2 linked regions of the Xenopus tropicalis genome follow. The protein of the gene in region 1 binds, or shares a complex with, the protein of each later gene. Links are inferred from orthologs where the notes say so. Each region holds a gene or a part of one and is shown on either strand. Other genes may lie near its edges. The genes, in order: klb and fgf19.

Region 1 (4,504 bases):
GAGACAATTTCCTATAGGTACATGGGCCTGCCTCATTTACAAACAGTCAAACCTATTTCTAGTCTGCTACATTTAGCAGCTACTGGTGTCCCTGTGTGACTTAGGAAACTACACCTCCTACTAAAGAAAGGAAATTAATAAAAATAATGTTTTAACCATGATCCCTGCCTTTGCATTAAAGGGGAACTGTGCATGATGTACAGGGAATGTGCTGCCCTCTGTAATTATACAGAGGGATAAATCTTAAAATAGGGAACCTTCCCCACATGGTAAGTGATAAATCAAGTACGTATCAGAGCCCATCCCTCAAGATATAATTAAGCTTTGACACGTCACTGCAAAGGTGCATTTTTTTTATTTGAATGGCCGCTGCTTCTCCTGCCCATATCTGGCATACTCCCAGTCATGAAAGCACTCATAGTAACACTGGCTAAAGGTGGCCAAACACTATAAGATCGCTGCTTTGGCGTCTTAAGAGTGAAATTCCCAGATGTAATATATCATGTTTTTATATGCAGCATTTCTTCCTCCGATTACAGTGTTTTGGAGCAGCAGTTGGATTTGTGTTCGGTGCAATTGCATCCCATTGCGCTAGTTTTTTATTACAAATCGGAGGCAAGATGGTGTCATTACTGGCAGTTGGCATGAAAATTACATTTGCCTGTTATTTTTTCAGCACAGGCGTGCTGCACATACTAACGTAGCTTGCAGAGGGGACCTTGGCATTGCCAACACCTTCAGGGTGGCAGTAGCTCTTGGATTCCCCTGTGTCAATAGGCACACTTGCACACAATTCAGCCAAACAGACATTTGCAAGCAGAATTGCACGTTACATAGTTACATAGTTACGCTGGGTTGAAAATAGACCAAAGTCCATAAAGTTCAACCCTTCCAAGCGCACCCTAGTGCACATATACACACACACACTCTTACCAATATTTCTATACACTCGCATATATACACTGTCTATATCAATATCTGTACTAATTGTCTAGATAAGGTTCATGTTTGGTGTTGATACATGCAATATTTCCATATAAATTGTGGTTGAGGTTGTACTGTAAATAAGACTTTTGTTTGTCTGTATATGTATGGTTGCATATACTGTATATGTGTGTGTGTTGATGCACTTTTAGCATATTTATTTTTTACCATTATTTTGTGGTTTGAAAATAATGGTAAGAAATAAACATGCCAAGTTGTGTGTTCAGGCCAAAGGGAATTCATTCAGTCAGCTGCAAGCTGGTGTAGAGCTGAAAGATAAAATGTAATTACCTGAAAGCAAGACATATCTGTTGGAAATGATCCTCCCATATATACACAGACATATGTTCCAGCTACCCCCCATACACAAATGAATGATGTATCCCTATAGGCACATTACATGGTGTGTTATGACAGCAGCACTGCTATGCCAGGAATGGCACTGACGTTATTAGGCAGCAGTGCCCACAGAGAGGACAGGTAACATATAGTGGAGGAGAGCAGCTGAGCCTTCCAATAGTGAGAGCAAGGACACATCTCCACCCCCTCCTCTCAGCGACCCCTCCTGGGCTCACAGTTCAAGCTAATCATTGACAGCATTTTTACAATTCAGTTCTATAGAGGAGCTGAGATAAGGACAGTGCAGCAGGCAGGGCAGAAGGCAGCTGACAAGGGTCAGGGAGAGACTTGCCTTGAATGAAACTCTCGCCTACATGAAAGGAACCCTCTGACCAGGAGACCCAGAGAGGGCACAATGGGGCACTTGTGGCTGGTGGGGTTCTTGGTGCCTTTAGGGTTACTAGGGGAAGTGATTGGCAGCCCAGGGGAAGGCAGGAGTGTGTGGGGAAGGAGCCATTCACTGAACCCCACAAACCAGAGTCAGCTCTTCACATATGGCACTTTCCCTTCAGACTTTATCTGGGGTGTGGGGAGCTCATCCCTGCAGATGGAAGAGGATCACTCCAGCAGGGGAGCATCTATTTGGGACACATCACTAAAAGACCACCAGTCTGGGCTGGCCAACAGCAAGAATGAGCAGCCCACTGGCAGCACCCCCAAACTGGCACACACTCTTCTACCCGCCTTGGAGTTTCTTGGGGTGAATTTTTACCATTTCTCTTTTTCCTGGCCCAGACTGTTTCCAGAGGGGAGTGGGGCCCCCAGTGATCATGGGGTGCAATATTACAACAACATGATAAACCTGCTGATCAGTAAGAATGTGATGCCAGTGATCACTCTGTACCACTGGGACTTACCAGCCGCCATCCAGGAGAAATACGGAGGGTGGGCCAACGACTCTGTCACCCAGCTGTTTAATGACTATGCCAGGTTTTGCTTCCAGAGGTTTGGGGATAGGGTGAAATACTGGATCACAATGCACAACCCCTACCTGATAGCCTGGCATGGCTATGGCACAGGGCTACACGCACCTTGGAAAAAGTGGGACACGGCGAGAGTTTCTCTGGTTGCGCACAATCTCATCAAGGTAAGCGCTCAGCCTGTGCCCCTGCCTTTACCTAATCGCTCGGAAACGCTCCGGGGGCGCCGACCCTCTGTCCTGTACTGTGCGCCGCCTGGGAGGGAAGCGAATACTGAAGGGCAGGGGGTTGTGGTGGCGGCGTGTGTATGTAGGTGAGTATATATTATGTTTGTAGGTGTGGATGGAGTTTTTCAGGGCAGCTACAATAGGAATAGTGTATAAGGTATTGGGTACGTAGGGTGTTTGTGGGGTATCTGTAATACGGAACTTGTGGCCAGGGCGGGGGTGGGTAAGGCAGTTGTGGCTGTTCCTATGACAGGTGTGTGCGGGTCTGCTCCGGGCAGGTTATAGTTAAAGTTACTGGCATGGCACATGTTTGGGGGTGTACTGGGGGCTGGCATGGTTATTGCTTTACTTGGGTGTTTACCTGCTGTTTGTCGGGCTTTCTGTGGTAGGGATGGTGTTGGTTGGGTTACCCTGAGTAGGCACAGTGTTGGTTGGGTTACCCTGAGTAGGCACAGTGTTGGTTGGGTTACCCTGAGTAGGCACAGTGTTGGTTGGGTTACCCTGAGTAGGCACAGTGTTGGTTGGGTTACCCTGAGTAGGCACAGTGTTGGTTGGGTTACCCTGAGTAGGCACAGTGTTGGTTGGGTTACCCTGAGTAGGCACAGTGTTTGTTGGGTTACCCTGAGTAGGCACAGTGTTTGTTGGGTTACCCTGAGTAGGCACAGTGTTGGTTGGGTTACCCTGAGTAGGCGCAGTGTTGGTTGGGTTACCCTGAGTAGGCACAGTGTTTGTTGGGTTACCCTGAGTAGGCACAGTGTTTGTTGGGTTACCCTGAGTAGGCACAGTGTTTGTTGGGTTACCCTGAGTAGGCACAGTGTTTGTTGGGTTACCCTGAGTAGGCACAGTAGAAATCCGCTGTCCATGCTGTTATAAATACACGTTTTTAATTTTTCAAAATGAAAAAAAGATAGATATATATATATAGCACCACATAAATGGCGTTGTCTGTATGTCTGTCAGTCTAGGTTCTATAAATTACAAGTAAATTTTGCAGTTTTTATTGGAAAGTTTTCTTTCCCAGTATTAGCGTTGCATATATTTTTTGGGTTCTATAGGGTGATGTATGCAATGTTACATAACTGAGATATAAACTTTATTTATTTTTTTTTAAATATACATTATTCTGTCATTTTATTTACTTATGTTCTTTTGATGTCTCGTGGCAATGGGAAAAAAGTGAAATTATTCCTGCAGGGATATTTTTCCGTAAACCTTTGATAAGCACCGCCAGTAGCCTTGACCTGTGATTGCTGTATCTCGTATTTCTACTGTTTATCTCTGTCTCTGGATCTGGCCACTATCTGAGCCATAGTAACTGACAGGGAGCCTGTATGAAGCCAGTCATTTAGGGAACATTTCAAATGCCCCAGCGGAGCTTACAATCTAAGGTCCCTATTCACACACAGTAAGGTCACTTTTATCAGGTACCTATTAACCTGCCTGTATGTTCTTGGAATGTGAGAGGAAACCCACACAGACACAGGGAGAATGTAGAAATGTCTGCAGATCCCGCCTTGTCTGGAATCGAATTCTAATATTTTTTTGCCTCCATGCTGTGCATCAAAACTTATTCTAAATTGGTTACTATTGGTTACTGCACTGGTGCAATATAGCACTTATGTTAGTAAATCATCCCCAGTGACAGCATCTGCAGAATGCTAGGGATTAAAGGTGGCCAGACACGCTACAATTACATCTTTCCCACGGCCATTGGTCATAGTATCATTGGTCAACCCTACTAATTCTGGTTCTGTATGAATAAGGATAATAATAATTAGGGGTGCACTGAACCAAGAATTTTTGGAGTTGTCCAAATACTGATTACTTGTACAAAATATTTGCATTTAAAAAATTGCATCAATTGTGTATAAAAAAATCTTTAATCAGCTGCCGACATCTTTAAAGTAACACAACTTTAGGGTTCGGATTCAGTTTGGCTGAGCACTTAGGATTCATCTGGTTCATGCAAGGATG
Region 2 (4,529 bases), on another chromosome or scaffold:
TATTTTTGAATTCCTGGCTTGGGGGCAAGTTTTGGCTGCATAAAACTCTGCCAAGCAGAGTCTCCTAACAAATAGACAATAACGTGCCTTATTTGGCACCCCCTATAATGAAGTCTACTCTTTTTACATTTAAATGTAAAAGGGTAAAAAAGGTTGGTCTGTGGCACCTTACAGCAGCCCCTCTGGCATTTCCCTGAACCCACAGATTGTCAGTATGGGCAAACAGACAAAAATACACATATAAATGCTACTTTGATTCAGGAAATAAAGAGGCTAATTAAGTAGGCGCTACATTGGGGACATTTCCACTGAGATCAATGTACGGCATTACACAAATACCCGGTGTGTGGGACACAGCAGGTCAAGCACCCAGGAAGGGTCAAGCACTAGTCCTGTGGGACACAGTTTCCCTGCAGTCAACACACACACAAACAGGATACGTGTTACACAACTAAGCCTCACAAAGGTCAATATACAGGGACACTAGCGGCACTTGAACATGTGTCAGGGCAAATGAATGCTGAATGAAGCCATAAACTAGATCTGCCCGCCTGTTATACCCACCTAATGTGGGCGAAATCGTTCTAAGCTGGTCATTTGGATCTAGGGGCCATAACAATCGGAGCAAGAGCCATATCAAGCCTGTCCGAACTGGACGATTTTCAGCCCGGGAAGCCCGTCGGAGGGCCCCACACACAGGCAGATAAGCTGAAGGAGCCAAATTGGCAGCTTAAATCTGCATGAGTATGGGCACCTTTACAGTTCTATACAATTTTGTCACGTGCTGCCATTTTGTCGCATTATAGTCTGCATACCCAGTTCACAATTAAAAGGTTAAATTTCATTTTTGTGAATAGTGTATGGCGTATATTGGTGTAGCATCCAATCAGAGACCACGGTGGAGTAAAAGGCTACACGTTTCATTCACTGCTGTATTTTCCAAGTAACTGTGGACTTTAACATTTCTTAGTTTAAACTGCAGGTCAGGTTTGAATTCTGCCAAAAATTGTAGTGCAACACCCCCTCCCACCCCAGCATGATGGGAATTGTAGTCCCACACCCGCAGGCTGCTAATCCAAAAAGGTGGATCAGACCTAAAGGGCTTTCCTTTCAGCGAGACAAAGAAAAGTCTCTGACACAGAAGGGTCTACGTACTAATAGCCTCCCATTAAAGGAGGACCCATAGGCAGGGGTATGTGCCATTGTTAACAAATGTCTCACTTACTCTGCTTGGCAATAAAAGGACAACTATCCCTCCCCCAGTACAAGGTATACACAGATATATCCGTTTTTTTAAAAAATTTTGAACATTTTTCCAAATCCGGATCCGATTTAAAAGACAAAGATACAATTACACATAAAATATCTCAGTTATACAAACATTTTCCTTAATAACAGGGGTAACAAATAGGAATAATGAAACAGCTAAAAACCCGAGTATGTAACCTGTGAGGGTGATGTAATGATGATAGGAAGGGGAGGTCTGTGCTTACTATGAAAGGTCTACTTATTGAAAATAGTATGACCTTATCTATGGAGCTGATAAGAGTCCTATAAAAGGCTGGGGATTGGCTTGTATTTACTACAGCCCCGAGGCAATTAGGTTAAAAAAAAAAAAAAAAAGCATTGCCTGACAGTCTGTCTCAAGCAACTTTAGTGTTACTGACTCTTTGTGTGTGTGTGTGAGCTCTCAAATTGCCATTTCCAACCCTGGGAAGATGTGGAAGACCCTGCCTTGGATTTTGGTTCCCATGATGGTGGCCGTGCTGTATTTCCTCGGAGGGGCGGAAAGTCTGCCGCTTTTTGATGCCGGGCCGCACATGCAGAACGGCTGGGGGGAGTCGATCAGAATTCGGCACCTGTATACGGCCAGGAGGTTCGGGCACGACAGCTACTACCTCCGGATACACGAGGATGGCAGAGTCGATGGTGACAGGCAACAAAGCATGCACAGTAAGTGTAACGTAGAGCAAAACTATCTATGAATAAATCACATCAATTGTTTCTGAATCAAATGAACTATTATTGTTATTAATAATTATTTATATAGCACAGTGATGGGACCTGTTATCTAGAATCCTTGCGAACTGGGGCTTCTTTCTGTAATCTGTAATCTGTAATCTCCATACCTTAAATCTGCTAAAAAAAAAAAATCATTTAACCATGAAATAAACCCAATAGGGCTGTTCTGCCCCCAATAAGGGGTAATTATATCTTAGTTGGGATCAAGTACAGGTACTGTTTTATTATTACAGAGAAAAGGGAATCATTTAACCATTAAATAAACCCAATAGGGCTGTTCTGCCCCCAATAAGGGGTAATTATATCTTAGTTGGGATCAAGTACAGGTACTGTTTTATTGTTACAGAGAAAAGGGAATCATTTAACCATTAAATAAACCCAATAGGGCTGTTCTGCCCCCAATAAGGGGTAATTATATCTTAGTTGGGATCAAGTACAGGTACTGTTTTATTATTACAGAGAAAAGGGAATCATTTAACCATTAAATAAACCCAATAGGGCTGTTCTGCCCCCAATAAGGGGTAATTATATCTTAGTTGGGATCAAGTACAGGTACTGTTTTATTATTACAGAGAAAAGGGAATCATTTAACCATTAAATAAACCCAATAGGGCTGTTCTGCCCCCAATAAGGGGTAATTATATCTTAGTTGGGATCAAGTACAGGTACTGTTTTATTATTACAGAGAAAAGGGAATCATTTAACCATTAAATAAACCCAATAGGGCTGTTCTGCCCCCAATAAGGGGTAATTATATCTTAGTTGGGATCAAGTACAGGTACTGTTTTATTATTACAGAGAAAAGGGAATCATTTAAACATGAAATAAACCCAATAGGATTGTTCTGCCTCCAATAAGGATTAATAATATCTTAGTACAGGGACTGTATTATTATTATAGTGAAAAAGGAAATCATTTTTAAAAATTAGAATTATTTGGTTATAATGAAGTCTATGGGAGGTGACCTTCCCATAATTTGGAGCTTTCTAGATAACGGGTTTCCAGATAACGGACCTAACATATTCCATAGTGCTTTACCAAGATTCTTGACCCAGTGAATGTTAAACTATATTGCCCCTATCACATACATACAAAGACTAAGGTCAATTTAATCAGGAAACATATAAACCGTTTGCAGATGATAGAATTAAATCTAGGATCTTCCATCTGAATCATTTTTGTTTTTATATGTGCAGGTTTATTGGAAATCAGAGCAATTGCAGTTGGAATTGTTGCCATTAAAGGGTATCGCAGCTCTCTGTACCTGTGCATGGGGTCCGAGGGAAAACTCTATGGAATGGTAAGTGAGCTCTGAAGCTTCTAATAATAAAGATATGCAAGGGTGGAAGCTTATAAGTAGAACAAATCATATAGGAATAAAGGATACAAACAGCCATGATAACTGTATGCAGAACAGATCATGTGGCTTCCAAAATGTCTTTTAGCAGCATTAAGGTAAGACACATGGAGCTACTTAGTAGCAGCTACTTGTCGGGGCTACTAAACTCCAGAAAATACCATAGACATTACTGAGAATTGCCTCTGCTAAAACACACATAGGGACAATTATCAGTAAATGATCAGCATTGTCTGTTTTAGTAGCCACTACTAGTAACTGCTACTAGTAGCTCCATGTGTCTTCACCCTTATACATAGAAATGGCACTGTATTTATCCTGCCGTGTGTTCTGGGATGTATGTATGTATGTATAAAGAAGCTGTTGGTTTTTTTTTTAAAACAAAGGTCCTTTGCTCTAAAGTTACTGCTCACTATAAACAAGCATATTAGTTTTATACTGATGTACTGAAGTTGTATGATGCACATTCTGTATGCCGCAGAAGCAGTACAACATACCATATTACTTACCTTTGCATGGAATTGGCCAAGAATATCTAGATAACGTCACCTTCCTACTGAAAAGAGAGGAAAAAAGTGTCATTTTTCGTACATTTTCATTGCATCAGCACTCCTTTAACAGTGCTCTCATTTGACCGCTTCTTTACCTTTCAACTTTATACCCGGCTTATTTTTGGCTCAGTCAGAACAGGTGAATGAACTATAGCTCAATAAAACTGAGGAACAGATTATGTCTGGAGCACACTGCCACTGTGTAAAGTCTTCTATGCAAAGGCATTTTCCAGGGTTTCTTATACTGAGCACCTTGCAGGATACATGAAGTGGCAATTTCATACATAATACCCTAGCGTACATGCAATGCAAATTCCATACATTGTCCCTTGAACACCTCAGAATAAATACAGTGCCAATTCCATGTATAATACCCCAGAACCCACAGCAGGATAAATACAATGCCAATTCCATGTATAATACCCCAGAACCCACAGCAGGATAAATACAGTGCCAATTCCATGTATAATACCCCAGAACCCACAGCAGGATAAATACAGTGCCAATTCCATGTATAATACCCCAGAACCCACAGCAGGATAAATACAGTGCCAATTCCATGTATAATACCCCAGAACCCACAGCAGGATAAATACAGT

Evidence for each region.
Region 2: the proteins of klb (region 1) and fgf19 are in contact, whole or in part, in a crystal structure (PDB 6NFJ), measured with the Homo sapiens proteins. The link is inferred for Xenopus tropicalis from reciprocal best matches to the Homo sapiens genes KLB and FGF19. Residues at the interface, in NP_783864.1 of Homo sapiens: Phe379, Lys380, Val392, Leu394, Trp419, Phe420, Thr421, Asp422, Val425, Thr431, Tyr434, Met435, Asn438, Tyr643, Glu693, Arg696, His743, Asn824, Phe826, Met832, Gln848, Phe849, Leu850, Gln851, Ile853, Leu862, Phe931, Phe942; in NP_005108.1 of Homo sapiens: Leu192, Thr194, Asp195, Ser196, Met197, Pro199, Phe200, Leu202, Val203, Thr204, Ser211, Pro212, Ser213.

Annotation. Positions count from the first base shown.
Region 1 is NC_030677.2:36,114,960-36,119,463, forward strand, and holds the start of klb (beta-klotho), read left to right. Parts: upstream 1-1,596; 5' UTR 1,597-1,738; coding exon 1,739-2,470; intron 2,471-4,504.
Region 2 is NC_030680.2:12,860,083-12,864,611, forward strand, and holds the start of fgf19 (fibroblast growth factor 19 precursor), read left to right. Parts: upstream 1-1,718; coding exon 1,719-1,953; intron 1,954-3,218; coding exon 3,219-3,322; intron 3,323-4,529. UniProt on the Homo sapiens protein: Involved in the suppression of bile acid biosynthesis through down-regulation of CYP7A1 expression, following positive regulation of the JNK and ERK1/2 cascades. Stimulates glucose uptake in adipocytes. Activity requires the presence of KLB and FGFR4.